3 linked regions of the Astyanax mexicanus genome follow. The protein of the gene in region 3 purifies or fractionates together with the protein of the main gene of each other region. This does not show direct contact. Links are inferred from orthologs where the notes say so. Each region holds a gene or a part of one and is shown on either strand. Other genes may lie near its edges.

Evidence for each region.
Region 1: the proteins of prpf4ba (region 3) and zc3h18 purify together in Homo sapiens (co-immunoprecipitation; 4 studies listed by BioGRID and IntAct, counting the BioPlex papers as one, with this or other methods). This does not show direct contact. The link is inferred for Astyanax mexicanus from reciprocal best matches to the Homo sapiens genes PRP4K and ZC3H18.
Region 2: the proteins of prpf4ba (region 3) and pnn purify together in Homo sapiens (affinity purification with mass spectrometry; 5 studies listed by BioGRID and IntAct, counting the BioPlex papers as one, with this or other methods). This does not show direct contact. The link is inferred for Astyanax mexicanus from reciprocal best matches to the Homo sapiens genes PRP4K and PNN.

What each region holds. Positions count from the first base shown.
Region 1 is NC_064416.1:22,223,722-22,234,379, reverse strand, and holds the start of zc3h18 (zinc finger CCCH domain-containing protein 18), read left to right. Parts: upstream 1-5,876; 5' UTR 5,877-6,006; intron 6,007-6,263; exon of another isoform or gene 6,264-6,394; intron 6,395-7,954; 5' UTR 7,955-7,965; coding exon 7,966-8,874; intron 8,875-10,658. Other genes in the region: trhr2 (thyrotropin releasing hormone receptor 2), read right to left, coding at 3-394.
Region 2 is NC_064421.1:1,237,266-1,247,449, reverse strand, and holds the start of pnn (pinin), read right to left. Parts: upstream 5,073-10,184; 5' UTR 5,001-5,072; coding exon 4,888-5,000; intron 1,770-4,887; coding exon 1,698-1,769; intron 1,605-1,697; coding exon 1,536-1,604; intron 1,008-1,535; coding exon 932-1,007; intron 1-931. Other genes in the region: gemin2 (gem-associated protein 2), read right to left, coding at 6,556-6,592, 7,431-7,489, 8,647-8,757, 8,827-8,895, 9,855-9,899. UniProt on the Homo sapiens protein: Transcriptional activator binding to the E-box 1 core sequence of the E-cadherin promoter gene; the core-binding sequence is 5'CAGGTG-3'. Capable of reversing CTBP1-mediated transcription repression.
Region 3 is NC_064415.1:47,476,666-47,487,629, forward strand, and holds the start of prpf4ba (serine/threonine-protein kinase PRP4 homolog), read right to left. Parts: upstream 4,811-10,964; 5' UTR 4,728-4,810; coding exon 4,690-4,727; intron 3,735-4,689; coding exon 2,541-3,734; intron 2,407-2,540; coding exon 2,266-2,406; intron 1,742-2,265; coding exon 1,592-1,741; intron 1,312-1,591; coding exon 1,230-1,311; intron 507-1,229; coding exon 308-506; intron 1-307. UniProt on the Homo sapiens protein: Serine/threonine kinase involved in spliceosomal assembly as well as mitosis and signaling regulation. Connects chromatin mediated regulation of transcription and pre-mRNA splicing.

The sequences.
Region 1 (10,658 bases), on a different chromosome or scaffold from region 3:
ACCTCTCCACGGTGAAGGCTGTGATGGAGCAGGAGGACACATTGATGCCCAGATACTGCAGGTAAGTGATGCCCAGACACCCTGCATGGCCGTACACCCAGGTGGCCATCAGGCTCTCTGAGATGTTGGGCAGCCCTGCCGCCACCAGCACCGTTAGATCTGCTACAGCTAGGCTCACCAGGTAGCAGTTGGTGGGTGTTCTCATGTGTCGTGTAGTCAGAACCACCAGGACCACCATAATGTTGCCTACGATTCCAACACCGCACACCAACAGCACCAGGAACACGGACACCGTCTTGTACTCCAGAGACTCGGCCACGCGGTCCCCAGTGCTCAGCAGGGAGATGTTCGAGACTGGGTTACTGTCCAGCTTGGAGCTCACGTTTTCCACCATGTTTTGAGAGCTTGTGTGTGCTTGTGTTAGTGTTGTAGATTCAGTTCAGAAGAAGAGTAAGGAAATGTTTTTACAACCTGTCTTGTTGAATCAGCTTTCCTTCATTGACACCCCTTTCATTATTTCCTTGTAGACTGCTATAATTCCATTAAACGTGACACTTTTGATTGCTGCAGCTAAGTCTCTTGTTGGCTTGTAGGCCTTTTTTGTTGCTTCTTAATGCAATTGTCCATCCGATCGATCCCCCTGAAAATAGAGATTGCAATAGTCAATTGGCAAAATGCCAATCTCCAACACCTTTAAGAGGATTTCACCATCCTGTGCTAATTGCTCAATAATTGCATGCATGTCCATGTCCTCTGGCATAAGTAGATAAGTGTTGTATGTATGACTGTGGATAGCAGACCTTCTCTAGGCTGCAGCCTGCTGAAACAGCGCTGATTAAAAGTCACAATGCAGGAATAACATCTACATCTCTCTCTGTCTCTCTCTCTCTCACAGACACACACACACACTCAGTGCTTCCCTCCACACCTGCTGGGGTCACAGAATTTTTTTTTCAGAAGAAAACTCTTCACACATTATCAACCTGTACCGACGATAAGCTGCCAGAGCAAATTATTCAAATGAGACATTTTAGTGGTACGCTGCATTAGGCAGCAAAAAAACCCTGCAAGTCTTAAAAACACACAACTGCCACAGGCAATCTGCTCACTACAGCAGTAGAAATTAAATACAACTGTTTTCAAGGATTTACACTTGGGGATGGGGCAGTGAATGTTCTATAATGCCTGGCCCATACTGCAGTTTTTTTTATCCTGACAGATGTCAAAAACGTGAGTGATCGCACACGTGAAATCATTTTTTACAGATTTTTCAGTCTTTAATTTTTGTTAGCTAGTGTTTGACCAGCCAACACCTCAGTTTTTTTTTTAATCTCACGGGAGTTTCTCATAAACTGTTATAATGTGAGAGTAAACATGGTGGATGACAGAAAAACATCACTTTGTTGAATAAATGTTTTCAACTCAGAAATAGTAATGTATACTGTTTGCTGTAAAAAAAATCTCTTTATCAAGCATAAAGTTAACACATTTTAAATCCACCCTATTCAAAAAAAAATATATGAGCATGTGTTATATTTAGGCGGCCCAGTAGAGTTAGGCTCTGTTTGGTTTAAATCCTGGGTCATGCTGCTTGGCATCAGCAGCCAGAGTCCGAGTCACCACAATTGGCTATGCTCTCTTCCCATATCACACCCAAACTGATGTATCAGAGAAGGTATGAGCGAGTCTTCACCTTCCTAGGTTTGGAGGCATTACTAGTGAAAGGGGGCGTACTAATAAGGAAATGTGGTAATTGACCTTCCAAATAGAGGTGAAAATGGAATAAAATTTGAAATAATTCGAAAAAAATAAATGATCAATAAACGATCAGGACAAACCTTACTGCTCTGGGACAAGATTAGAGGACTAAAGATTGGATTATATACTTCACATTCTACAGAATAATCTGGAAACTGTATCGAAATCGGGAGATTTTTGAGACTGTCGGGAAGAACAAATCAGCCTCAAAATTGATCTGACCATCCTGTAGTGTTGGCCAGGCATAAGATAACATTTGGGAAGTCCACAGTAATATTATACCAAAAAAAAAAAAAAAAAAGAACATGCTTAGTCCAGAAAATTAAGCTTTCAGATCAATTTAGGCTTCTTAACATGCTCTTCTATCTTGTCATCTGTTGCTGGTGTCACAACACAATAAAATATTGTTACATTGACTAGCTCTATTTAATACAGTACCTAACACGAATCACGATCACAAATCTGAAATTTAAAAGATATACTCTTATAAACTATAAAAAAGTGAAATTTCTCTATTTAATACTTCAGGTTATCTTTAAATAAAGAGTCCACAGTTAAACCTGGGTTTGTTATGAAATTCTCTGACTTTATCTCTACTGGAATGTCTTGAGCATCTTGAGCTAAACACGCTCATTAAGTCAGCAGCTGTCCTCTAAAGAGCATTTTCTTGCCGCGCTGTGATGTCGAGCCTGATTCACAGACTGGCGTTGATGGTGAGGGCCAGGCACGCTGATGAGAGCCTGTGATAAGAATTAAGCTGTCAGTCTTTTGGTCAGTCTCTCCTCAGTGAGTGGGATCCAAGCAGAATCATAAAGTCATCGAGCCATTCAAAGACTCTCTTTCACTCTCTCATTTTCTCTATCTATTTCCCTGTCTGTCTGTCTGTCCATCTGTTTATCTATATATCATATATGTATGCAGTTATATTTGTTACATTTACTGGGTCACCTGCTTAATCATTGTTTTAATAAACTGTTGATCCTGCTTTTGTTGGAGTAACTATCTCTGTTTTCCAGTGGAAGACTGTGAGTGTTCGATTACATTCACCACCCCACCTTTTCCCTAAATCCCAACTCATCCCAAAAATATTGGTTGGTGCACCATCATTCCATAGAACACCATTTCACTGTGTGAAAGCTCAATAGTGGGAGGCTTTATTCCCCTCCAGCCCCCAACAGGTATTACACATGGTGGCAAATGGCTCATGTTTATCTGCTCCATAGTAAAGGTGGGATACAATATTGTGATATATCATATAATATATTGTAAGTCGCTTTGGACAAAAGCGTCTGCCAAATATAATGTAATGTAATGTAACTATATATTTTTATTAAAGCACAGGTGCTCTAAACTCCCAAAGATTCGCCCCAATTTAACTTATTAAAGTTACTGCTTCATTACTCCATTAATTTATTATTATTATAAGTATTTTAAAGAAATTTCTTGTGATATATCCACAGAAATTTGATATCATTGTTATTGTGGGCCACATATCCTGGTAATATTGTATTATGAGAAGCCCTGTGATTCCCACACCTACTCCACTGTAACCAAATAATCAATGTTGAATTCATCTGTCATGTTATGGCTGATTAGTGTCTCTCCCACGATCTGTTTTTGTCTGTATGTCTGTCTCTGTCTGTCTCTCTAGTCATTTGTCTGTCCTTCGATCTATCTGTATTTCTCTGTGTCTGTGTGCATCTTTCTCTCTATGTGTCTGTCTGTCTCTTTCTCTATTTTGCTCTCTTTTGTGCTTCTTTCTCTCTCTTTGTCTATCTCTCCCAATTTATTTGTCTGTAAGTCTGTCATTATCCTAATGTCTGTCCTTTTATCACTCTCCCTTTCACTCAATTTGTCTGTGTGTCTTTTCCCCTCTCTCTGTTTGTGTCTCTCTCACTGTTTATCTGTCTGTCTCTCCGTGTCTGTTTCTCTCTCACTTTTACATGGTCCAAGTCTATTTCTTTCTCTTTTCTCCTTTTTCTCTACCTCTTTATGTCTATCTGTCTTTTTTGGCTTGTTCTGTGTGTGTCTCTCTCTCTCTCTCTCTTACTATGTCTCTCTTCCTCTTTATCTCTTTCTGTCTCATTTCTGTCTGTCTGTCACTCTTTCACTATGTCTCTTTCTCTGCATATGTATTTCTGTTAATCTCTCTTTACTTATGTGATTCTATGTTAATAAAATCTTTTTTATTGTCTGGCTGTATAAATTGTATAAATGTACTTGAAAAACAATGTTTCTTCTAAATGCTGGAGACAAACACACTTTCAATTGGTGAACAGGAAATGAGTATTATATCTGTTAACAACAACAACAACAGCAACAATTATTAATTGATTCATTGTGGTGAAGTAGATTATTTCAGTGGTTAGTATAAACAGTGCGTTATTACATGCTATTCTAAACCAGGAGGAAGCAAATACTGGAGAAAGTACAAAAACGAATACATATGAACACATTTAACATAATTCATTGGTTTTTTTTTTTTTTTTTTAAGAAGAACAGTCACAGTTTAACAGCACTGTATATTTCTCTTCACCCTCACACATGCGGTCAGTGCTAAACCAGAGATAACCCGAGCGAGTTAATAATATAAAACATTTCACAGACAGTAACTAACTTCCCAGCAGCTCCAGTGAAGGCGCGTCTCTTACCATTTTCTTCTCTTGGGTTTGGGATTCATTCAGTCCGTGCAGAGAGCGCTGGGTGGTGTGGTGTCGGCTGTGGAGCGCAGGTGAGAGAGTGAAGAGAGAGAGAGATGTGTGGTTCAGGTGAGGAGGAATGCGGCTCCAGCGGGCAGCGGCGGAGTGGGGAGCTCGCGCGCTCCTGGAGCCGCACTGTTCCGTGGGGACGAGCCGGGAGCGTTTTCTCTGCAACAGCGCTCTCTAGTGTGCGCGCGCCACCAGCGCTGCTGCACTTCACCACTGAACACACCACAAGAAGTAAGGAAACTTGTGTTTGGTATATTATTTTAAAAATAAATCTTATACCCTGGGAAAGCCTGCTAATTTCTCTTTTAAAAGGAGCCAATTTTGTAGGGAGCATGAATTTCAGAGCTGAGTATGTGGATTGCATAAATCTTCTCCAACATTGCCAAATAGCTTGTTCTGCCTGTAATATTAATTCTTGTTTTGAGCTTCTGGTACCCCCAGGTGCTGCCTGTGAGATGTCAGTGGTCAGTCAGTAAGTGTCTGCTTCATGAATCTGCATCATCCCACATTTGAATAATTTGGATCTGAATAGGGTCCATACGACAGGGCAACTTCTGTTCCGTAAAATCAAGGTGCGGCTTTATTTGGAATTGAGCCCTCGTACCACTGAAGGCCAAGATTCCTATAACGGGGGTGTCAGAGACAGGCAATGGCAGAGAGGATTTGGCTATTTTTTTCATGGGTGCAACCCATTTACTCAGCTTTGCTGCTTATCCCCCAAATGCCATTTAGAGGCTTCTGAATAGACTTACAACCCCTGACGTAGAGTTTGGCTTATTATGTAACCATCCCTGCATATATGTAGGCAACAATATATGTATATTCATTTTGCTTTGCATGCTAATCGTATATTTCAACATTGAAGGTGCTACACTAGCATTTTTTATATTCATTAGCATTCTTAGTTAAACTCAGTAACTCATAAAGTAGCACATTACAATATACTAACTCTAGCCTGAAATATTATAATATAGTAAAATACATATCTATGTGTATTTCAAACTACATCATTATTACTGTCACCTTCCCAAAATTACAGCTAAGTCCCAGCATTAAAAAAATAATAAAATGTATCTATGACTTAGTCACTCAAATATATATATATATATATATATATATATATATATATATATATATATATATATATATATATATATATATATATATTCTTTTTTTTTCATTGCACTGAATATCAAAAGCTTAATCTAGTGGAAGACACGTCCTACTCTATTCTGTTGTGATTAATTTTATTATATATTTTTTGTTTTATAATACCGACTTTAATTAATTTAATAAGACTCTTTTCGGATGTTTTCTGTGTGAATGGCTAGCCTAGCCTCGCCTTGTGTCGGGTGTTGATGACGATACTGTAATGGCCGCTCTCACGGTGTGTTGCGGGGTCTATGCGTTACTCCGGTAAAGAGAGAATCACTGATCGGCGCTTTCTTTCTTTATTCCCCGGTTAGATTTCCTCACGGAGGGGGAGAGGCCGGGTAGCCCCACATCGAGCCCCAGTCTCCGCGGCGCTGTGTTGTGAAAGGTGACCGACTGTGTTTTAAGCGCGTGTTTGCTGAGAGTTCTCGTTATTGTTGTTGGCCGCGGCGAGTCGGTGCGAGTCAGGGACGCCGCCGGGCAGCAGTGAGACGAAACGGGACGAGCCCTGCGGCCAGTCGCGGTTATTCTGCAGGGCGGGTGTAGTTTCGGGGGTTGGTGTCGGTCCGGGTCCATGAGCTCGGCTGTAGCGGGGTTTGGGCCGCTCTCTGTCGGGCCTGCTGCTCCTGCTGCTGCGCGGCCACCGGCGGAGCGACGCCTCCTCCTCATTGGCAAATAGGCGAAGCTAAGCTACGCTAGCCAGCTGTAGTCGGCGAGCTAGAAAATTGTCCTTTCGCTCGACCATCTCATGAGTCTCTTGCCGTTATTCCGAGCAGGTAACCTCATTCCAAATTACTTACTAAACTACAATTACATTAACTCTGTATGTTACGAAGTGTGCACGGTGTGAAGCAAGGCCGTTACGGGTGCGGAGACCTCGCTAGCTAACCTAGCTTAGCTAGCCAGTATGCTAAGCTAACAGGCTGTTAAACGGTAACGTTAACATAGCTAACTACTTAACCTAGCTAACGTTAGCTAGTAGGCTATCGTCATTAGCATTAGCATCGCCTTGGGTTGTGTTTATCCCTCCTCGGTGTTAGATTAGCTAACAGCTAACTAACTAGCTAAACAATTAACCGAACTAGTTAACCCAACTATTAGGGCTACACATTTAGCTATATTTTTTTGACAACAAGCACAGTAAACGATATTAAATTAATATAAAACAATGTAAGGGTAGTTAACCTAGCTACATATGACTAATAGTAACGTATATACAGTACAGAAATAATAACATTAATAGTGGATGTAGTTAGAGGTTACGTAACCCTAGTTGCAAGATTATGTGCTAATGCATAGCTAGCTTACATAGTTACATAAATACGTACTCACATATTAACCGTTTTATTAGTATTTTGTTTTTTAGATGACTGTTTAATAGGTTATAGTGTTCATCTTTATTTCTCTATTTTTTATTTATTTATATAAAACCTGAACGTTACAAGTGTAAAATTCAGTATATATGCATGTGTATATTCCCAAACATTTACTTGTTAGGTAGTTTACACTAATAGTCTAAATAAGTCTGCAAGGGTATTTTATTTTTGTATTTTTCGTATTCAGAACAATGTAGGACTAATATAGCTACCTAAGCTAACTGCTTTTCTGTATGTTTAAAACTGTGAAGCATAAAGTATCAATGGTAAAAACGCAATTCTGAGACAAAGTTCCCTGGGGTTAATACATTTTTAACTAAGCATTTTCTTAACAGTCACTTCACTTAATTTAATTAATTGTTTCTTATTAAAGGGAAAGGATAGATTGTTTCACTAAAGGAGTGGTCAAGAAAACAGATTCTATATTTTTATTTTTTAAGGAGGAAACAAAAAAAACTAATAAAACAAAGAGAATAGTTGTTAAACTGAAGGATTTATTAAATGAATAGAGCAAATTGTGGAACTAAGGGGAATGCTTTACTAAATTGACAGAACAATTTATTTTATTGCCAAAAAAAAAATAAGGGAAACATTTGTGTTCTTAAATATTTAGTTTTAACCTTGATCATTTTTTCTGGTCCTGTGGAAACCTTTTCAATCAGAATGTGCTCAGTATTGGAATTTAGGCCTGTTAAGGCCTGTTTTTGAAGACTAAGCCACACTTAGATTTGGTCAGAGTTACCAACCGCTGTCAAGGTTGGTGTTGTACCAGTCCTTGGCTAACAGTTCTGAAAGGCTTCTGAAAACCAAAACTGTGTTAAAGGATATTTACAACCCCTTACGTAGAATTTAGCTTAATATGTATCCAGAAAACCATCCTGGCATGTACTTAAGCAGCAATATATGTTCATATTTTGCTTTGCATGCTAATCATGTAAATATGAATGTTTTTGATTACAGATTGAGTGCTGATGGACACCCCTGAGAGCCCCACACAGTCTCCACAGTCTCCAGAGGAGGAGGAGAAAGGTCTGTCAGACAGTGAGCTGCTGGAATCTCCAGAGTCCCCTACTGAGGGGAACAATGAAGTGTCTGACAGTGAGTTACTAAACGATGAGGAAGGAGGAGGAGGAGGGGGAGAGTCAGACATTGATGATGAAGACAAGGTTGATTTGGGTGGGAGAGCTCCAGGAGAAATATCTGACCAAGACGATGACAAGGTAGACGGGATCGCGGGGAAAGATGTACACCAGCAGGAGAAGTCAGGAACCATTCTGAAAGGTGGGCAACACATGAGCAGATCTCCAGAGCGGGAAGAAGAAGAGGAGATCTTGGAAACCCCTAGGTCACCAGACCCTGAATCACCAGAGCCCGTACATCAACAACCCTTCACCCTTGCTGAAGAAGAGCGTGGGGAAGCCAGCCAAGAAGAAGAAGAGGAGGGAGAGAAGACCACTGGCTTAGGCATGAGTCGTCCAGAGTTGGAGGAGGAGGATGAAGAGGAAAGGACACAAAGGAGGGTAATGGCAGTCAGTGATCTAAAAGATGAAAACTCTTCTGTCTCCAGAGAGCTGGATGAGCATGAGCTGGACTATGATGAAGAAGTGCCTGAGGAACCAAATATTGGTGTTCCAGAGGAGGATGACATGGAGAAGGGTCCTGGTGCTGAGGACGGTGAAGCGAATGAGGAGGAAAAAGACAACAAAGAGGAGGGGAAGAGGAAAAGAAGTGAAAGGAACCCTATCCTCCCCCCAGACCAGGGCAACTCTGATCTTAAGAAATCTGAAGAGACAAAAGGCCAAGAAAGAGGCAGGAGGGATTCCTTTCGTGATAAAAAGAAAGATGAAGATGATGGCGAGATTGATGAAGGAGAAATTGATGTAAGTACTCTTACCATAATTACTAGGATTTGTAGAGTATTTGGACTCTACTAGGTAAGTACACTGTGTTCAAATTATTTAAAAAGATGTTCTTAAGAAAAAGAAAGGGACAGTTAATGCACTCATAGAAATGAACTGTGCCTGGAATATAGAGCTGCATTATAATTGGGAAGGGGGATGACATTGTGATATTTTGTTGTTCTGCAAAACATGTTGTGATATAAAAAAATACAGGAGTTTTCTTCAAAAAGTCAAAAATCCAATAGGTACAATAATATTAACAATGCCCATTTTATGTCCAAGATAGGACAGATATAAATGATATTGAGCTTATTTTATTTCCTTTTGTATTAAGCAAGTTGTAGCATGACGTAATGTTTAAGTCGCCTTTTCTTATGGTGCGCATGCTGTGATGTGCCTTTTTTAGCAATGACTATGCTGAACAATATATTGTGCATCCTTGCTGACATATTGTTATTTGTCAGTCTTAAATATTTCAGATCATCAAATAAATGTAAATATTAGTCCAAGGCAACACAAGTAAACACAAAATACAGTTTTTAAATGAAGTTTTTCTTTATAAAATCCAAACCTACATTGCCCTATGTAAAAGTGGTTTATCACACCTGAGTTCAATTTCTCTAGCTGCACCCAGGCCTTATTACTGCCACACCTGTTCTTAATAGAGGAATCACACTTAAATAGGACCTGCCTGACAAAGCCGAAGTAGACCAGAAGATACTCAAAAGCTAGACATAATGCCAATATCCAAAGAAATTCATGAACAGATGAGAAAAAAAAATAAGGTATGTCAGTCTGAAAAAGGTTATAAAGCCATTTTTTGTGATTTTGTGTATAAAGCCAAGTTTAGGGATTCCAGTGAACCACAGTAACAGCCATTATCCACAAATGGCGAAAACATGTAACAGTGGTGAACCTTCCCAAGAGTGACCGGCCGATCAATATTACCCCAAGAGCACAGCAACCACTCATCCAAAAGGTCACAAAAGACCCTTATGACAAAGTAAAAAAAAAACTGCAAAAAAAAACTTGCCTCAAGTGAGGTCAGCGTTCATGACTCCACTATAAGAAAGAGACTGGTCAAAAATGGCCTGCATAGCAGAGTACCAAGACAGAAACCACTGCTGAGAAAAAAAGAACACTAAGGCTTGTCTCAATTTTGCCAGAAAATGCTGGTAGTATGTGATGGTGTGATTGTCTGGGTCTGGTTTGCTGACTTACTCTGATAAATAGAACCATGAATTCTGCTGTCTAACAAAAAGTCCTGAAAGAGAATGTCCTGCCATCTCTTTTTGACCTCAAACTGAAACGAGTTTGGGTTCTGCAGCAGGACAATGGTCCAAAACACACCAACAAGTCCACCTCTGAATGGCTGAAGAAACCCAAGATGAAGACTTTGGAAGTCCTGACTTGAATGTTAATGACATGCTCTATCATGATCTTAAACAGGACGTTCATACAATTGTTATACAACAATTCTATAAAGAAGAGTTGAGCTAAAATTCCTCCACAGTGATGTGGAAGACTCATTGCAAGCTAGTGCAAATGCCTAATTGCAGTTGTTGCTGCTAAGAATAACCCAACCAGTTATTGGGTTTAGGGGCAAAAACATTTTCTCACAGGGCCATGTAGGTTTAGATTTTTTTTCTCTCTTAATAATAAACACATTTAAAAACTGTTTTGTGTAAACTTGTGTTGTCTTTTACTATTTAAATTGTTTGATGATCTGAAACATTTAAGAGTAACAAACATGCATAAGAAAT
Region 2 (10,184 bases), on a different chromosome or scaffold from region 3:
CATGCTTTATTCATGCCTTTGCAGCTAATTTTCACGAACATATAACATTTAAAATAGCAGTACAGACATGCAGACATTCTGCACATTTATGTCTTTGTTTTTCTGCCTTATATTTTTTCTAAATTAATCCAGATATTAATATTCATTAAATGTAGGGGTGGGCGATATGGCTCTAAAATAATATCAAGATATTTCAGGGTATTTTTGCGATAACGATATACTTGGCGATATAGGAAAACTAAAATAATTAATTAGTTTCAGGAATATAGTATAATAGTATAACAGTATAATCATAATGTGGCAAAATAAATAATATATCATAAAATAATATAATGCAGCAAAAAATATTACAGAATATTTAGTGCATGCATATAAACTGCAAACTAAAACAATTATACAATAAATACACCTAAAGCTTCACAGTAAATAATAGACTACTTTTAAGACAGAACAGCCCTATTATCACGATATGGATTTTTAATATGATATTTCTGTTCTCATGATATATTGTATACGATATAATATTGCCCACGCCTAATTAAATTACATTTTTCTCACTGATTGAATTTACACTTACAGTGAAGCAAAAACTCCAGTCAGCCAGCTATCTAAAGCTAAGTGACGTGAAAGATTTGCACAAACATTACACTATTTTTTTGATACCCAAAACAGTTTTTCTCAGTCGATAAACGGAAATACTAAGATTTGTAGAGCAACTTATTCAGGCTTGGAAATTGCTATTTTACTTTTACATGTTTTTCATGCCTGTACAAACCAAAACTGTAAATCAAAACTGTATTATTAGTGACATGGGTGAAGTTATAAGTCCCCCAGAGTCTTCTGACCACATTCTTGTGATTTATTAAAACATTCAGGATTTCCTATTGCTTTAAAAAAACACATAAAAAACAAACAAACAGGAAATTCTCACTTTTTTGACATCGTCATCATCCTCAGCGTCGCTGTCATGGCGTGAATCTCTCCTGGCTCTCTGATCCCCCGCCAGCCTGAAACGGGTTTAATGCGTTATAATCAGCCTAAATCTGCAACAAACACAATGTACTAAAACATTCACATCACCTGAACTGCCTTTATTTCTATTGTTATTACTAAATTTCTAAAAAAATATATATATAAAAACAGATTAAAACAGCCAAACAGATCAGTCATCCCACAAAGTCAAGGAAGTTCAGGGAGTCTCTCGCAATTTATACACAATATCCCAAAAATCATTTAACATTAACACATACACATTAAAATGTATTTGGCTGAGATAATGACAGTTCTCAGCATTGACTTCCCTTGTTCACCAACATTACTAACATTACTTAAACCAGCTGGCTAATGGTTAGGGAGATACTGTACTTCATGCACTGCATTAAAATCATGTTTTATTATAGGTTAAAACAGATATTAATAACAAAACCTGGGCACAGGGACATGTTTAAAGAGCTAACTTCCTGAAATTAGTTTTTACAGTACAGAGAACATAAATAAGAACTATTTAAACAGTAATATTAATGTGCAGCTCGTACCTCAAGAGTGCCCCCTCGATGTCCCTCTGTTTGGCTGGCGGTCCTCCACCGCCATCAGAGAGTCCACGCCTTAAAACAAGAAAAACGAGGCGTTTTATTACAAACGCAAACCAACAACACGCAGAAGATTTATCATCCGAATAAAGCAAAACACAGACTCACCTCAGTATACCGATGCCACGCCCCCTACCTCCACCTGGGCCTGTGATGGACAAACGCCTGGTCTGACCCGGCCTGAAACCAAAGCAGATCAGAGTGAGTGGGCTTTAAAACACTGCAGATATCTACAGGTGTTGTGCTGAATTCTAGCTTTCTGTCTAAATCCCACTCCCTTTACATACATGCACCCCACCTTATAACTATAATTAGTACATTTATATTTACCCTGTCTTACTTGTGCAATAGAACAGTTGAGAAATCGAGTATTTTAGGTCTGTTTATAGAACTGTCTTAAAATATATTTTGTTGATAAGGAAGCTGTGTTAACGGTTGTTGGTATATCTTTTTAAGTTTTCCATCGTATCTGTAAATGCAGACAGATTCCTTTTTATATTCTGTAATTTTGTGGGACCAAGTTAACCCTATACTAACTAAAGATATCATTTAATGTTTGATATTATACACTGCCTGGTAGGAATGGGCAATATGGCCTTAAAATAAGATCACAACATTTCATGGTATTTTAGCAATACTTTTGGTGATACGACAAAACACCAACTGCTTGAATTTTTGCACCAGGAGTAAAGCAGCATAAAGTAATCCAAAAGCAGTGTGTAAGACTGGTGGAGGAGAACATTCAAAGATGCATGAAAAAGGTGATTAAAAAACAGGGTTATTCCACCAAATACTGATTTCTATACTCTTAAAACGTTATGAATTTGAACTTGTTTTATTTGCATTATTTGAGGTCTGAAAGCTCTGCATCTTTTTCGTTATTTCAGCCATTTCTCATTTCCTGCAAATAATTGCTATAAATAAAAATATGTTTATTTGGAATAAAAAAAATGTTGTCTGTAGCTTATAGAATAAAATGTTAATTTTACTTAAACATATACCTATATATTTTTCCAGGCCTGTAGATAGATAGATAGATAGATAGATAGATAGATAGATAGATAGATAGATAGATAGATAGATAGATAGATAGATAAATGTGATCTACATGATGATACATATTTTCAGTCATACCACCCAGCACTACCACAAAAAGGTAGGTGTGAAAGCAGCCTTAAATTCTGCCAAGATTATAAAAGTAAGTTAATTTCTAATACTTATAATGCACGAATTACAGTAACTATACCTTAAACATTGCAGTTTGTTGATTATACTTATTAAAAAACACACATGACTGACAGCACTGCTTGGCCTGTAGAAATATTATATACCATTTTAACTGTTATATTAACCAAATAGCCTAATATTACACTCACCAGCTACTGTTTTAACTGATGAACTAGATAACAAACCTTTAAATGTGCTGTAAATCACCACAGTACTTAAATAAACATTTTAATAAAGTGTAAATATTATATTTTGACACTGAGGTAACGTTAGCTAGGATAGCTAGTTATGCTAGTCAGCATGAGTTAAAGACAGCTGAGCTAACTGCTAACTATGTAGTTAGCAAACATTAGCAGCAAATTTGTCAGAAATAACTAAAATATTTAATATTTATCTACAATATTAGGAGACAATCTGTATTATCATGCACCCATATCCTTTCTGTTGGTGTATATTAGCTATAAAACTACACTTTCACCTTCATAAATGACACCATACGCCTTAAAAATTAGCTTAGCATAGCATTGCTGAGCTCAATCAGTGCTGGGCTTGCTAAGCTAAGCTAACACAGTTTCGCTAGCCTAGCTTAGCTTTGCGCAGTTTCGCCCTAGTTAGGCAGGAAGAGCTTCGGGTGCGTCCCAATACACTAACTATCTACCACCTGTAACTCTCGCTTAAACAAGCCGAGGGAACGTTTTAAACACGTTATTATACAACAACTTACTCTACCTTAAACTATAAAAGTTAGGTAATTAGCTTAAATTGCACAATAAAATATTGTTTTTTATTAACAAGTGGTCAAAATTGGAATGCACCTTTCACTCCAATCTAGTCTGAAACCAATGCTAGCTAACTGCTTTGCTAATCTAGTTAATTTAGGTGCCCTAATTAGCACACACACTAGCACACTAGACCGCAGCAATTCAAAAATGTATTAATATATTGTATTACATGTTAGTCATAGATTTATTTTATTGGCCAATAATAATCTTGATTTATTGTATTGTATTTTAAGTCCTCTATATATCCTTTACATATGTAGATTAGACAATAAAACTAACGTTACTTGACTATATATATATATATATATATATATATATATATATATATATATATATATATATATATATATATATATATATATATATGTTTTGTTATATGTACTAGTATATTAACTAGCTAATAAGTTGGAAAGTGTCAAAGCTCTGCATTCTTAAAACACAGAAGTATGGACTTTAAACAAATTGCAATTGTATGTATGTATGTATGTATGTATGCATGCATATATGTTTGCATTCATTTTAGCTATATTTATGTGCCATAACTAAGGCACAGAACAGAGTTAAATGTTATATACTACTGAAAACACGGACAACACTGTGCTAAATATTACATATTAATTAATATTAACTAGTTAGTTAACTAACTAACGCAAGTTTTAAGTGCCCTATCTAGGGCACAACACAGAAGTATGCACTTTAAACCGTAGCAATTGTATGTATGTATGAATGCATATTAGCTAGCTTTGCGTGCCCTAGCTATGGCACAAAACATAATTAAATATTATATATTGATGTATGACATTATATATATATATATATATATATAAGTAAAATGTTTATTTTGCTAGCTAGCTAGTATGTTGGAATGAATCCCTAATGTCTTGTTTAGCCTTCTAACACTAGCTTTAAGTGCCCTCGTTAGGGCACAACACAGAAGTGTGCACTTTAGTAGCACACCGCAGCGATTACATTTTAAATACTGATATGACATATTAGTAAAACGCTTATTTTATTATCTAATGGGGTTAGAAATCGACAGAATGTAATTACCCCATTCTACATGTTAATCTAGCCAAATAGCTTTAAGTGCCCTAGCTAGTTAGAGCACAAGTGTGCACCCTATTTTCTGTATTAGAGCTACAGCCCCTGTATTTAACCACAGCTAACGTTAGCTAGCTCTCTAAACTAAAGGTAAGCTAACTAGCTTAGCCGGTTAGCATGCTGCGGTTAGCCGCTCGCTAGCCCCGTTCCCCCGCTGTACCGGAGCTGATCCCGGTCCCCGGTCGTACCGTAGCTCGTTGGGGTCTCTGCCAGTGAGTTTCCGTATGTTCTCGTCCACACTCTTCAGGCTCTCCTTTGCCTTCTCCAGCTGATCCTGCAGATTCCGCACCGCCACCGCCATCCTGCTCCGATAGCTCAGCTAGCCCTACTGCCGCTACCGCTAACCAGCATGGAGCACCGCCGGAGTTCCACCTCTACCTGATGATGGACAAACACAGCAGCCAATAGGCGCCGACCCTCACGTTAACTTCCGCCAATCGTGGTGGTTCGTGCTGGCAGCGCCAGCCAATTATTCAGCTTATAAAGAGTCACATGTAACCTAAAAGATTCAAGATTCAAAGAGTTTATAATCTGCACAGTAAGGAAATAAGTCCTGATGAGTGCCAGTTTAATCATTCTAACGTATTTATGGTCTTTTTTTTTATTGCGACTGCATTTGAGGACACTTTGAGTTATTGAAATTTTTCAGATCGACTGACCTGATAATGAAAATAGTATTGTTTTCTTTACTTAGTTGAGTAGTTCTCGCCGTAATATAGATTAGACCATTACTCAAATAGTTCAAGTTGAAAGACTTTCAAGTAATTTGCACAGTAAGGAAACAAGTCCTGATGAGTGCCAGTTTCATCATTAAAACGTATTTTATGATCTTTTTTGCGACTGCACTTAAAAATACTTTCAGTTATTATTTTTTTCATATTGACTGACCTTCAGTTTTTCTTAAAGAATTTTTTTTGCTTTACATATTTGAGTAGTTCTTGCCGTAATACGGATTAGAACATTACTAAAAAAATGTACTGTTGAAGGACATCTGCACAGTAAGGAAATAGGTCCTGATGAGGGCCAGTTCTATCTTTATAACGCTTTTGATGGTCATTTTTGCAACTGCACTTGAAAATACTTTCAATTATTGAATGTTTTTATATCAACTGACCTTTATTTTTTCTTAAAGTAATTAAAAAAAAATTACTTAGCTGAGTAGTTCTTGCCGTAATATGTAGGACATTATAGTTGGTTTTAAAGGTTTAATAGTTTGTGCTAGATTAGCTAAATACTTAACACTTCTGCTATTATTAGGGGGGAAATATATGTATATATTATTATAAAAATATAAATATATCAAATATATATTTTGAAAGTTTTTAGCAGCAAAATCCAAAAAACAAAATCCACAGAAACAAACAAATGAAAGCAAAGACTGACCAAATTAAAAAAAACAATTTTCAAATAACGACAAATGTATATTTATATATATTAATTTCTAATTTTATAGCAAATATTTTCCCTTTTTATTTCCAAATTAATTCCATAAATAGAGACAAATTAGCCAGTCAGTATAATCAGTAGTAGTAATAGTAGTAGTAGTAGTAGTCACATTCAGAAACTGCTGATGTAATGCAGTGTGTGATGGAAAAAGAAAACAAAACCTAAACTGGAACACACTCAGTAGATTTATTACAGGTTTATTTCAATACAGCTGAAATGAATCACTGTAAACTGTTTTTATAATGGAACTATTCATTGATAAATCTACTGACCAATATTGATCACTGATCACGAAATCAGTCGATCAGCTGAGACACATTCAGTTTCTGGCAAATAACAGCATTCATACATGTAATCATAGAAAACAGACATCTACAAAAAATCTCCCATAATCTGCAGCATCGTCTTCTTCACTCTTTATCAGCCAAATCAATCTGCTCAAAATACCTAAATAAAAGAAATAAGAGGAAAAAAAAGAACCTGTAATTAACTTTATATAACATTAAAATTTATAAACTCAAATAAACTATAATAAAGTCAGTGATTAGTGAAAGTGTCTACCTGTAATTAACTCTATATAACATTAGAATACTAAACCCAAATAAACATTAATAATAAAGTCAGTTATCAGTGAGAGTGTCTACCTGTAATTAGCTCTATATAACATTAGAATCCTAAACCCAAATAAACATTAATAAAGTCAGTGATCAGTGAGAGTGTCTACCTGTAATTAACTCTATATAACATTAGAATCCTAAACCCAAATAAAATTTAATAAAGTCAGTGATCAGTGAGAGTGTCTACCTGTAATTAACTCTATATAACATTAGGATACTAAACCCAAATAAACATTAATAAAATCAATGATCAGTGAGTGTGTCTACCTGTAATTAACTCTATATAGCATTACAATACTAAACCCAAATAAACATTAATACAATCAGTGATCAGTGAGAGTTTCTACCTGTAAATAACTCTATATAACATTAGAATACTAAACCCAAATAAACACAAAGAATAAAGTCATTGTAAAGTGAGAGTGTCTACCTGTAATTAACTCTATATAACATTTGAATACTAAACCTGAATAAACATAAAGAATAAAGTCAGTGATCAGTGAGAGTGTCTACCTGTAATTAACTCTATATAACATTAGAATACTAAACCCAAATAAAGATTAATAAAGTCAGTGATCAGTGAGAGTATCTACCTGTAATTAACTCTATATAACATTAGAATGATCCATTAAAGTTATTGATATGTTGGTTAGAAAAACACAGTTTACCTGGCAACTATACAGATTAACAAGTTCAGTGCTGACAGCCTGTCGTCATCTTTGCTCTCCTAGAATAAAATGAAACACAAAAACATACTTTACATGTATAATATACTTACAATAGATTAAAAATATATACAAGTGTGGTTTTATATATAAATTCGTGACAAAATTAGCCATTTTCCGTCCCTGGCGTCATGTGATTTGTTAGTGTTTCAAGGTCTTAGGTTAAATTTGGTGTTTTGGGTTCAATTCTCTCATACTTGGCCACTGGATATTAAACATGCCACCTCTTGGCAAAGAGCTCTCTGTGGATGTGGGAAACAGAATTGCTGCTCTATATAAAGATAGCCTAGGCTATAAGAATATTGAGGTTATCTAATATTCAAAACTAAAAAATAAATCCAGAGTATGATTACAGTAATACGTAGGTCCTGTTCAAAATGAATGTTGAAGACTCCTACTATAATCATTTTATCACTACATACTTCTAAATCTACGACAAAATTACTAAATTCTTTTAAAATTTCTATATTCAGAGGCTGGCTTTAAAAAACAGATGTGTAGAATAGTGCTGCCAGTATTGCTGCAGAGGTTGAAGAAGTGTGAGGTCAGTCTGCAGTGCTCAGACCATACGCTCACACATACTGCACACATTAGATCAACTCTGTCTGCATCGCACTGTTCTAGAGGGTAGCCTCTTCTGAAGCTGATGCACAAGAAAGCCTGAACACAGTTTACTGAAAACAAGCAGTTTAAGAGCATGGACTACTGGAACCATGTCCTGTGATCTGAGGAGTTAAAGATAAACTTGTTTGGCTCAAATGGTGTCCAGCATATTTGGCGGCGTCCTGGTAAAGAGTACAAAGAAAATTGTCCCTTGCCTACAGGCAAACATGGTGGTGGTAGCATCATGGTTTGAGGCTGTATGAGTGCTTTCAGCACTCAAATGCTTTACTGAGTAAAGTGAAGATAAAGGTGATGGACTGCCCCAAAATTGATATAGCTTTAAAGCTTTAAATTGAGCATCTGTGGGGCATTCTTAAATAGAAAGTGGAGGAGAGCAAGGTCTCTAACATCCACCAGCTCTGTTTTCGTGTCATGGCGTCATGTGAAGCTCTAGTGAACTTCATACTATTTGTCCATTTTCACTTCGGAATCTACTCTACATTTTCGTTGTTAGCGGTTTACATATAAATGGCTAATAGAGGCAGGCAGTGTTTACCAGGTTTGCTCGTACTGCAGAGCACCGCCTCGCCAGCTGTCTGATCAGCGAATGAGCTTCAGGGAGGAGGGGCTTCTCCAGACACGCCAGTAATGCATACAGCCACTGACCCTGTGGAGATAAGAGCTTTCAGTACCATCTGTAAAGTTCTGTTATTTAGAAGAGTTTAACTAAACTCACCAGCTGTGGAACAAAATCTCTCTCCTCAAACCAGCTGATCAGATACTCCAGCACTGCAGAAACCGTCGACTACACAACAAAAAGAGTTGTTAAAGATTACAGGAGTATCAGATTACAGAGGTATTAGATAAATAGGGTTATCAGATTACAGGGTTATCAGATTACAGGGTTATTAGATAAATAGGGTTATAAGATTACAGGGTTATCAGATTACAGGGTTATTAGATAAATAGGGTTATCAGATTACAGGGTTATTAGATAAATAGGGTTATCAGATTATAGGGTTATTAGATAAAAAGGGTTATCAGATTACAGGGTTATCAGATTACAGGGTTATTAGATTACAGGGTTATCAGATTACAAGGTTATCAGATAAATAGAGTTATTAGATAAATAGGGTTATCAGATTACAGGGTTATCAGATGTCAGGGCTATCAGATTACAGGGTTATCAGATTACAAGTTTATTAGATAAATAGGGTTGTTAGATAAAGAGGTTTATTATATTAAAGGGTTATTAGATAAATAGGGTTAATAGATTACATGGTTATCAGATTACACAATTATCAGACAGCATGCTTATTAGATTACAGGGTAATTAGATAAATAGGGTTATCAGATTACACAGTTTTCAGACAAACAAAATGATCATATTACAGGGTTATCATACACACAGGAGTTTAAGATTACAGGGTTATCAGATTACAGTGTTATCAGATTACAGGGCTATTAGATAAATAGGGTTATTAGATTACATTGTTATAAAATCACAGGGTTATCAGAAAAATAGGGTTATCATATTACAGGATTATTAGAGTACATAATTGTTAAAATATAGGGTTCTCACACACACAGAGTTATCAGATTACAGGGTTATCAGATTACAGGGTTATCAGATTACAGGGTTATCAGACAAACAGGTCGACTAAGATCAAAAAAACCTAACAGGAAAAAACGCATTTCATAAACAGGCTTATACAGGCTTGTTTACAACAGTTAACTGATAATTTTCTGATGTTAAAAAGTCACCTGACTGAGTTTGCTGACGATGCTGAGAAACGGAGGAAAGCCCATCTGAACAAACAAGAAAGAGAACGAGAAGAAACTATTAGTGGATAAATACTAGTCCAAGTAAATCAATAATCTGTTGGAAAAGTTCTGCTCTTGATCTGACCCAAATATCAAATATACTCCTCATCTTAGAGCTAAACGGCTGTTCAGGTGCAGTTTAACCTGATTTATTATTCAGATAATAATTACTACAGTTACTAACTAATGCATCTCTGCTGCTGCTCCATGCTAAACTACACTAAAATACAGTATGTGCTAGACCAGAACTAGACCCAGAACCCTCTTTCT
Region 3 (10,964 bases):
AACTGAAGACCTGAAAACCAAAGTAATTCATGTTTACCAGACCTGTAGAAACATTTAGCTCAATACAGTGTTTCGCACAAATATATTTTAACAGTAGAATTTTAGGAAATAAACCTTTTCTCAAGATTAAAAACATAAAACATTCAAAAATAAACAATATAACAATTATTCAAGAGTCACCAATTAGTGTAAAACATTTTTTTTGTTTATATAAGCAAATAACAACATACTGAATTATCACAGTACAATTACTGACAGCTGTCTGCTTAAAATACATTAATTTATTTATTCTCTTTATTAAACATACCCTCTTTTTCCTGGGTAAGCAGGTTGTGTTTGGCCTTGACGTTGGCCTCAAAAGTGTCCAAGTTTTCTTGTTCATATGCCTTTACATCAGCTGCAACACGTTCGAGGACATCGTCCGGAGAGGGTGAGCGGCTGCGGGGGCTACTCTGTGGACTGCCAGGTTCAGACTTAATGCTGTCCTCCTTAGTTTCCTTATATTTCTGTATAATAGAACATGTGAGAGAGAGGGAAACAATACAACTATTCAGTTTTACTGAAGGTTACAAAAAATGGCTCATTAACCACTATGATAGGGTTGTTAGTTGAGCTGAGGTAACTCAGCTTTAGCATTTGTTTGTTTAAAAAATGATTGGCTGCCTTTCTCTGAGAACAATTCACTAACTTCTGGGTAAATAGGGTTACGTACTCAATAATTATGTTAACTATAATTTTGTAACTGCATTAGACATTAAGGCTATTTAATTTATTGTGGTGAAAAAAAGGAAAAATTTATTACAAAAGTTTGGTATTTAGCCAAATGTTTAATTTTGTTCAGATTGGGCCAAATATTTTAATTTCAGTGCACAGTAAACATTTTGCTTACTAAAAGATAAAATTGGTTAAGATGTACAACATTCAATGTACAACATTTTACATCCACAGTTTAGCTATAGACCAATACAGTACAGTGAAGGCTCAGGTGCTTTATATATTAAAAGTTATTATCTTCTGCAGATGTAAGGGCACCAGTAGAAGACAACTCCTATTATTTTATTGTAAAAACTCATGGGAAAAGCAGCAAGCCAGTATTTTGTGAACATCAAGTAAAAAAAAAAAAAACTATCATTGCTCAGTCTTCACATACTGCTCTGTAATTCCAACAAACATAGATTCATGAATGTTTTATAGTGAATATGTAGCCAAAGACATGACAAGGTCCTGACCCGCACAATCGCCAATCGCTGCTGTCTCTGCTGCTGAATCAGGGCTTCCTCATCCTCTTCATCAACATCATAATCCTCCAGCCTGTATGGAGTCATAATCCACAACTGCAATTATTCTTTATGCATGTCCACACCACAGGTCAAAACAGTTTTAAACCACTTACAGCAGCCAGAGCCAGTCTGGACTTCCTTGGGGCCATTTTCGCTGCATCTTCTAATTTATGCGGGACACTAACTCTCCCTAACTCGGTGCAAGGTGGAGACGGGGGGGCCTTTATTCATTTGTGGGGCCACACAGTGTGTAATAAGCATATAGGACAGTCCAGCTGACAGCAGCACTAAAAGAACCCTGATATACTCACACTTCATCATCTGAATCATCCTGTTCGGCTCTCATGCCTTCAGACAGACTGCCCTTAAACTTGTCCTCCTTCTCTCTGCTTCTCCTCCTTCTCTCCTGAGATCCTGAGTGGGCATGCTGCCTGAGGCCCAATCTGTCGCGTTCCACTGATCTAAAACATCAGAAACATTTTAAGTGGAATTGTCCATTAACCAACCTCCATCAAGGTCCATAGGACCCTAGGAGCCCCTAGGATTCAACTCCCAGCCCTCTTAACTGACAATACTCCTAACACTAGGACCCTCCTGCCTCTCTGATACTGGCTAAGTCACAATCTGCAGCATTACTAGCAGCCAGCATGCTTGGAAGAAAGCACCAGATCCCCAGCACTGACACATCAGCCAACAGATGTGTGTGCTAACCAGCATCAAATTGTGCAACCTACCCACCCAGAGCATGAACAATTGTGCTTCCTCAGCTTCCTGCTGCTGATTGTGTAGCAGCATGAACCTGGACTCAAACTCACGATCCTCAGGCCATGCTGTCAGCATGTTGGTCTTCTGGTGAGCCACCCAGCACTTTTCATTCAGGGTTACTAACTGACAACCCGACAAGTGTTTGGTAATGTGCTCAATTATTAAGAATAAGGATACAGGTGAGTAGTACATATTAACATGTGAAAGGGCTTAGACAGACCTTCTTCTGGGAGGAGAGGACCTGCTGGCGTGTCTCCTGGGGGAGCGGGATCTGCACATTAGGGGGGAGCGGCTCCGTCTTCGTCGAGTACTTAGAGAAGGACTCTGCCCTCTGCCACCTCCTGTCTCATGGGAGCGGACACTGTAAGGCACACAGAATCTCTAAACAATAGAGAAAACAACAGAAACAGACTACGAGTACAGGGGGTAGGTTGAAATTTATGTTATGATTACTGTTAATATTGAAAGATAACAGAGGAGTGTTTAGCCTCCAACCTGACAGGAGATGGTCTCTGGCGGTCAGAATCTCTTTGTCTTCTCTCTATGGAGCGAGATCGAGCCCTTTTGGATGGAGATCTGTTACGGGGGTCAGAGCGGCTTTGCTTGGACTCTCTGTCACCAGTCGGGTTCCGGGAAAGCTGCTGAGGGGCATGATGTTCCCTGGTCCTATTAGAGGATGTAAGCCATGCTGGACTTTGGTCACGCTTTCCACTGGGAGACCTGTTTTCCTTGCCTGAGAAGATTTCCTTAGATGGAGACTTAACCATTGTCTTGTCCCTGTCCTGCCTGCGGTCAGACTCAGGCTGTCTGCTATGTCTGTCTTTGGATCTAGATCGCCTCATCCTCTCAGGTGATTTGGAATAATCAGCACTTTGTGTGCCTGGCTGTGGAACTGTAGGTGAAGACTCCTTTTTATTTTCCTGCTCAGTCTCAGCAGAGAGAGAATGCTGAGTCTTGTATGTAGATTGTTGCTTTCTTGATGTTACAGGAGACCTGGGCTGCTGAATACTTCTGGAAGGCCTCCTGTCAAAGGATGGACCTGGACCTGGCATTCTCTCCTTGGTCTCAAAAGTTGGCTCAGTTCTGCTCTTTCTTTTGTCTGATTTATGCCGATTTTTGGTAGGCATCTCCTTGGATCTGCTTCTACTTTGAGTCCAGGAATCAAGTCTTTCAGCTTCTTCAGCAGATGGATGGCTCTTTGACTTATGTGGCTCTTTAACAATGTCCCTAAGCTGATCTCCATTACATGTCCCTTCTGGCATTTCCCCATCCTCATCTGAGCCTGAGTTATATCCCTGCAGTATCAAGCCCATTCCTGAGTGCACCCTCCCGTCCAGCAGCTCATTATCAAGCTCTGCTTGGATCATGGCCCTCTGCTTCTCTAAATCCTCCAAAGCTGCCATGTCATCCAGTCTGGACCTCTTAATTGAGATAAGGTCTGCATCATCCTCCTCTTCAAAACAGTCTCCATCATCCTGGCATTTGTGTTTTTTATGCTTGTGTCTGTGCTTGTGTCTGTGTTCTTTTTCCTCTAACGATGAACATTTGTGCTTTCTATGGTGTTTATGTTTCTTTCTTTTGTGTTTCTCCATGTCATCAACCTTCACGTTCTCAGTTTTTCTTCCTCTGTTCTCTTCCTCTTCACCTGAGCCATTCCCAGTTCTGTCAGAGTTATCCATACCATCTTCTCTGGAAAGAAAAACACAATATAACTTTACCCAATATTGTTCTTTAGACAAAACACAAAAAGATTTTTAAGCTCCCTTACATTTATCATCGGTATAACAGCAACAATACAGAGAATATTTGGCAACAGAAATGATTTGTCCATCTATGGCAAAAACACAGTTTAAATAAAATTATTTAAAAAAATTTAAAGACAAACACAATATTATACCTCTCTACACAAAACACTTGCCTGTCCAAAATGAGAGCAACATTATGCTGACAGCTTGTCAAACAGTGGCTGTCACATAAACACCATAGCCAGTATATTACAAAACTAACAATAAATTATATGACTTTCTTCTGCATATAATAAATAACAATTTAATCTAATGTTTGCCATATTTGCCAGAAGCTTTTAGATTGTTGATGCCGTTCCCTTTACCAGGAAACATAAATGTAATAATGGGGCTATTGAGAAATAAGTACACTTCTTTCATTGCTACAAATATCGTAATTGGCAGGCAGAGAGTTTTCTCAAACTAACCTTTCAGCAGATTAAGTAAAGGCCACGGTATTAACTGCGTATTAAATGCTTTATCTGTTAGAGAATGTTCTTTGTTTTGATATTACTTTTGATAAGGTAGCAGTGGCTAATGTGACACCACCATGTAACTAACTAGCCTACAGATTAAAGCCTATAACTTTATAATATGCAAAAGAAACAACCCAAAACAATCTGAAAATAACCTAATTTCTAATTAAACTGTTTTATTTTGGTACTGTATGCATTAATACCCACTGACAGATTAGGTAGGTAGAGCTAGCTAGCAGGCTAGCATAGTTTGGACGGGTTTTACCGGCATTAGCGACATAAACTCAGCGTCTGCCCTGCCACTAGTACAGTGTTCTGTGGGAAATGCTCTGTTAATACGTGTAATATGTGCGCCCATGTTCGCAGAGAGTAAAGGTATCTTACTTGATATTGGCCGCTGTGCCGCTGATCAGCGCTTCCATTTTAGCAGTAACAGGCTGAGCTAGCTCGCTAACTCCGGTGGGTAAACCTTAGGCACCGTTTACAAATAACACACTTCGTAGAGTAACGGCGAATGCAGCGTATAGCTGGAACATGAGAGGATTCAGATAGCTAGCTATACAACTTAAGCTGAAAACGTCATGAAGCGTTATTGTTTTACACGACGGGTTTTTATCCTGCTGAAATATTTCTGCTACAGAAAACATTTTTTTCGCTCGGGCTTTGAGTGAGCATTTTTCTTCACCCCTTACAACAGCTCTGGCAAAAACATGCAGCTAGCTAGGTTAGCTTGCTACGCTGTCCTGATGCCTTCAACTCAGGCTCAGATGGTTGTTTTTATTTATTTAACCTCGTACCTAATGTAGCTAATGTGAATACTAAGAAGCATTAGACAAAGTCATAGTTTTCTTTATGTTGAACTCCACAGAACAGCTAGTTTAGCTGAATGCCGAATGAGTGGATATGAAGAATCTGTGATGGAGAACTTTTAGCTGGGTTAGCTAACTATATTTTAAGGTGAGTCAAATTTTACTCTTGTATGTATGATTACATTTTACTAGTAAAACTCCATTTACAGATACAGCCACAGTTTATTGTAAAAAAAAAATGTTCCAATGTATCTTTTAAAGAGTTCAGGTCCACATATCTAATGCAAAAATGTACATTTAGGATATCAAATCAAATCAAATTTATTTGTATAGCGCTTTTTACAACAGGTGTTGGCACAAAGCAGCTTTACAGAAACATGATTACAGGACAAAGAATCAGGCAAAACATTACACATAGAAAATACAGAATACAGAACCCCCAGTGAGCGCGGAGGCAAGGAAAAACTCCCTCAGAGCTGCAGGAGGAGGAAGAAACCTTGGGAGGACCAAGACTCACATTTGAGGGGGGACCATCCTACCACTGGTCAAACGGCTTTTAAATTAAAATTTAAAAAGTCTTTTATACATCCATATAGGTTTTATGTACTCAGGAGTGTAATAGCGCCACTAATGGCTTGGATGTAATCTGTAGTGGAGAGTAAGATGGATGATGAGCAGCTGATCTGTGGTGGTGGTGGAGAAGAGCTGACTTCAGAAACTTCCATCAGTCTGGCCGGACAGGAGACGCGAGAGCCTGAGGGTCCAACATCGGTATCGGGTCAGACAGGTGGGCAGTCAGTAACTCGGAGGAAAGCAGAGAGATGGAATTAGTTTTGACTGGATTTATGCAAAACTGAGAACACACAGTTTACCACAATTTCCTCTGTCCATGAACCCCTGAATCTGCAGCCTTATCTAATGGAAAAAAACATTAATTACCAAAAGCTAAACTAAACAAGTAAGTTTTCAGTCTAGACTTAAAGATTGAGACTGTGTCTGAGTCCCGAACATATTCGGGGAGATTATTCCAGAGTTGAGGCGCTTTATAAGAGAAAGCTCTTCCTCCTGCAGAGCTCCTCTGAATTTTAGGAACTACTAATAAACCAGCACCCTGAGATCTAAGTAATCGCGGTGGTTCATAACAGGAGATGAGGTCTTGTAAATACTCAGGAGCGAGTCCGTGTAGGGCTTTATACGTTAACAGGAGAATTTTATAGTCTATGCGGAATTTGACTGGAAGCCAGTGCAGTGCTGATAGTACTGGACTAATATGGTAAAATTTTCTAGTTTTAGTAAGGACCCTGGCTGCAGCATTTTGAACTAGCTGAAGTTTATTTAAGTTACTGCCGGAACATCCAGACAGTAGCGCATTACAATAATCTAGCCTTGAGGTAATAAAGGCATGTACTAATTTTTCTGCGTCATGCAGTGATAGGGCATTTCTTAGCTTGGCAATATTACGGAGGTGTAGAAAAGCTGTTCTAGTAACATTAGATATGTGTTTATCGAATGCTAGATCTGAATCTATGATAACTCCAAGGTTTTTAGCTGCTGAACCAGGGGTGGCTGAGAAGTTAGCCAGATTTAGCATTAAGTCTGATAATTTATTTCTAGCAGCTTTGGGGCCTAATAGGAGAACTTCTGTTTTATCACTATTTAATAGGAGGAAGTTGTGCGACATCCATGATTTTACATCTTCTACACAATCCTCGATTTTCTTTAATCTCACTCTGTCATCAGGTTTGGCTGATATGAAGAGCTGCGTGTCATCCGCATAACAATGAAAATTCACATTGTGTTTTCTAATAACTTTGCCCAGTGGGAGCAAATATAATGTAAATAATAACGGTCCTAATATAGAGCCTTGTGCGATTCCATATCTTACCTTGGTATAACTGGAAGACATTTATCCTCACAAACTGATAGCGATCGGTTAAGTACGATTGAAACCATGCTAAGGCAGTTCCGGTTACACCGACCATGTTCTCTAGTCTTTCTAAAAGGATAGTATGATCTATTGTATCAAAGGCTGCGCTCAGATCGAGAAGTACGAGTAGGGAAACACAGCCTTGGTCGGCGGCTATAAGTAGATCGTTTGTTATTCTAACTAAAGCTGTCTCAGTGCTATGGTAAGGCCTAAATCCAGATTGAAATTTTTCATAGATCTGGTTTCTTTGCAGGTAAGAGCAAAGTTGTTGGGCTACAGCTTTTTCTAAAATCTTAGAAATAAACGGTAAGTTTGAAATAGGTCTATAGTTAGACAGTACACTAGGATCAAGATTTGGTTTCTTGATCAGAGGTTTAATTACAGCTGTTTTAAAGGCTTTGGGTACATGGCCCAGGGTGAGCGATGAGATTACTATCATTAACAGAGGTTTAATTATATCTGGCAGTACCTGTTTTAGTAATTTTGTGGGAACAGCATCAAGTGTGCAGGTTGTGCTGTTTGAAGAGGAGATAATTTTCTCTAGTTCTAGCTGTGGAAGTGGGTTAAAGACTTCCAACCTAACTTCAGTAACAGGGTTTTGTTCTAGATCAGCCAGACCAGATGACAGAGAGGATGTAATATTTATCTGTTTAATTTTATCCCGAATGTTTTCAATTTTACTATTGAAGTAGTCGATAAAATCGTTGCTGGTGTAAATGGCTGGAATCTGAGGTTCAGTACCTGCCTGGTTTTTAGTTAATTTGGAAATAACACTAAAGAGAACTCTAGGATTATTTTTATTTATCTCGATCTGTGAGGCCAGATACGCTGAGCGGGCTTTATTAAGTTCTTTTCTATATTTAACAAGACTGTCTTTCCACGCAGAGTGAAACACTTCCAGTTTAGTTGATCGATATTTACGCTCTAAATTTCGTACTAACTGCTTTAAGGTACGAGTTTGATCATTGTACCACGGTGCGAGCTTTTTCTGTCTCTCTATTTTGTGTTTAAGGGGTGCTACAACATCTAAGGTAGAGCGAAAGGTATTTTCTAAACCTTCGGTTAGTTTGTCTAGTTCTACTGGGTCTACAGGAGAGTACATTAGAGTTGATAAGTCTGGAAGCTTATCTGTAAATTGTTGGGCTGTAAAAGGCGTAATTGAACGTTTTACAGAGTAGCTAGGGGATGTACGTATATTATGACTAAGATGTAATTTAAATGAAATAAGGTAATGATCTGAAATTGCGGAGGTTTGAGAACGAATATTCGGGTTATCTATGCTCACACCCAGGGTCAAAACTAAATCCAGAGTATGATTACAGTAATGAGTAGGTCCTGTTATATTTTGAATAATACCCACTGAGTCTAAAATCGATGTGAATGCCTTTTTTAATGGATCATCCAATTTTTCGAAATGAATGTTGAAGTCTCCAACTATAATCACTTTATCATTACTTACTGCTAAGTCTGTGACAAAATCACTAAATTCTTTTAAAAATTCTAAATAGGGCCCTGGTGGTCTGTAGATGTTAATTAAAGAAAATGCATTCTTTTTTGTAACTGGATTAATTATACTGGTGTAAAGAAGCTCAAAAGAAGTAAAATTTTCATAGTGTTTCTGATTGCTAACTAAGGTACTTTGGAAAAATATGCAGACCCCACCTCCTCTACCGGACAATCTCGGATTGTGTATATAATTATAGCCTGCAGGGGTGGCTTCATTTAATGCTACATATTCATTTGGCCTAATCCAGGTTTCTGTCAGACACAGAACATCAAATTTCTGATCAGTTATCATTTCATTCACTAGAACTGCTTTTGAATTTAGAGATCTAATATTAAGTAAACCAATCTTTAGGCTTGAAATGTTAGTACTACAGTCTGGATATGATTGTTTAATATAAGTTAAGTTATTTAGATTTACTGTTTTAGTTTTTTGATGTTTTTGTTTGACTCGGGGGACAGACACAGTCTGAATACATTGGTATCTAGGTAACGTCTCTTTGCAGCTCGCAGACGGTTGGTTAAGCCTCTCTGTCTGCGGCCTGGTCCCGGCTCTGGATTGTCAGCAGCTTCTAATACTACTCTGCCGACTAACTAAAAGACTATGAGCTATGCTGCATGAAAGTAAGGCAGCACCCTCCCGCGTGGGGTGGACACCATCCCTACCTAAAAGACCAGGCTTGCCCTCAAAGTGTAGCCAGTTATCTATAAAGCCCACATGATTTTCTGCACACCACTTGGACATCCAGCGGTTCAGCGAAGAAAGCCTGCTGTAAGCTTCATCACCACGCCTCATTGGGATGGGGCCAGAGCAGATTACCTCCTCGGACAGCGTCTGGGCCTGTTTAATCACCTCTTTAATATTAGCCTTAGTTACTTCAGACTGCCGCAGACGAATATCATTGGCCCCTACATGAATTACTACCCTCGAATATCTCCTATTCCCTAACCTGAGGTTGCCACTAATGTCCGGTGCTCTGGCTCCCGGTAAACAAGTAACTGTTGCCGCTGGTGCCCCTAAAGGAGTAGCTAATTTCACGTGTCGGACGATAGAGTCTCCTATCACCAGAGTACCTTTAACAGGCTCCTCAGTTGGTGCTTCACTGAGCGGGGCAAACCTGTTTGACACGTGAACTGGGGGAGCGTGGTGTTTAGGTGGGCTGGCTGTGGCCTTTGCGGTAGCATTAGCCTTAGCCTTTCGACTATGCCGCCGAGACGTTACCCATTCGCCCCGCTGTGAGGGCTCTAAGCATACCTGTCAAGTTTTGGACTTAAAAATAAGGGAAATTTTCCGTCACCTGCTTCGAGTCGCCCACCAACCCAACCGAGGTACAGAATCCCTTATATTTTAAGACAGGTTTACAATAAATCTAAAATAACCACCTGGGAACATTTTACAAACTACAATTAGATTATCAGAATCTGACAGGTCTATCTTTGTTGACACTGAAATGTTGTGGACATTCCTACATATGTAATTCTTATAATACAGCCTAAGTTAAACCCTTTTCTAGACATTTACATGAAATCATCAGCTTTTACAAAAATGACATGGACCAGATATATTGCATAAGTAAATATTAGTCCAAAGGGGCCTAAACAATTAATAATTTAATTAATACTTCTTTCTATTGATCAGTCCAGTCCTGTCAGTCAGTTAATTTCAGCCCTCTTCACATTTTCTCTCTCTCCAGATCAACCATCTCTTCTACCCCTTCTAAGTATTAAATTACACCACAATACTCTTAAACTAGCCCTGAACTAATAAAATAAATACAGTTTCGTTCATTATAGCTTACAGTAGGCCTGCAAACCTAAACTAGAAAAGGTAAAGTTCGTGAACGAACTTTAAGTTGGCTTGGAAAAGAACGCTAATAACGTTAAAAAGTTAAAATGGTTGCTAAGCTTTTTCCGTCTGAAGAGTGTGAAGAGTCATTGATATGCTGTTAACGCTAAATGCTAAAAACGCTGACATCTAAAAACATTTGGTTAAACGCTGAAATCTAAAAACGTTTGGTTAAACGCTGAAATCTAAAAATGTTTGATTAAACGCTGAAATCTAAAAACGTTTGGTTAAACGATGAAATCTAAATACATTTGGTTAAACGCTGAAATCTAAAAACCTTTGATTAAACGCTGACATCTAAAAACATTTCGTTAAACGCTGAAATCTAAAAACGCTTGTTTAAATGCTGAAATCGTAAAACTTTTGGTTAAACTTTTGATTGCTAATGTGTTGCTAGGCGGTTGCTATCATTTCTGAAAAGGTTGCTAAGCTGTTGCTAGGCAATTGCTAATGTTTTCCAGGTGGTTGCTAAGCTGTTACTAACTGGTTGCTAGGCAATTGCTAACATATAACAGGTGGTTGCTAAGGTGTTGCTAGGTGGTTGCTAGGGTGATGCTAGGTTGTTGCTATCATT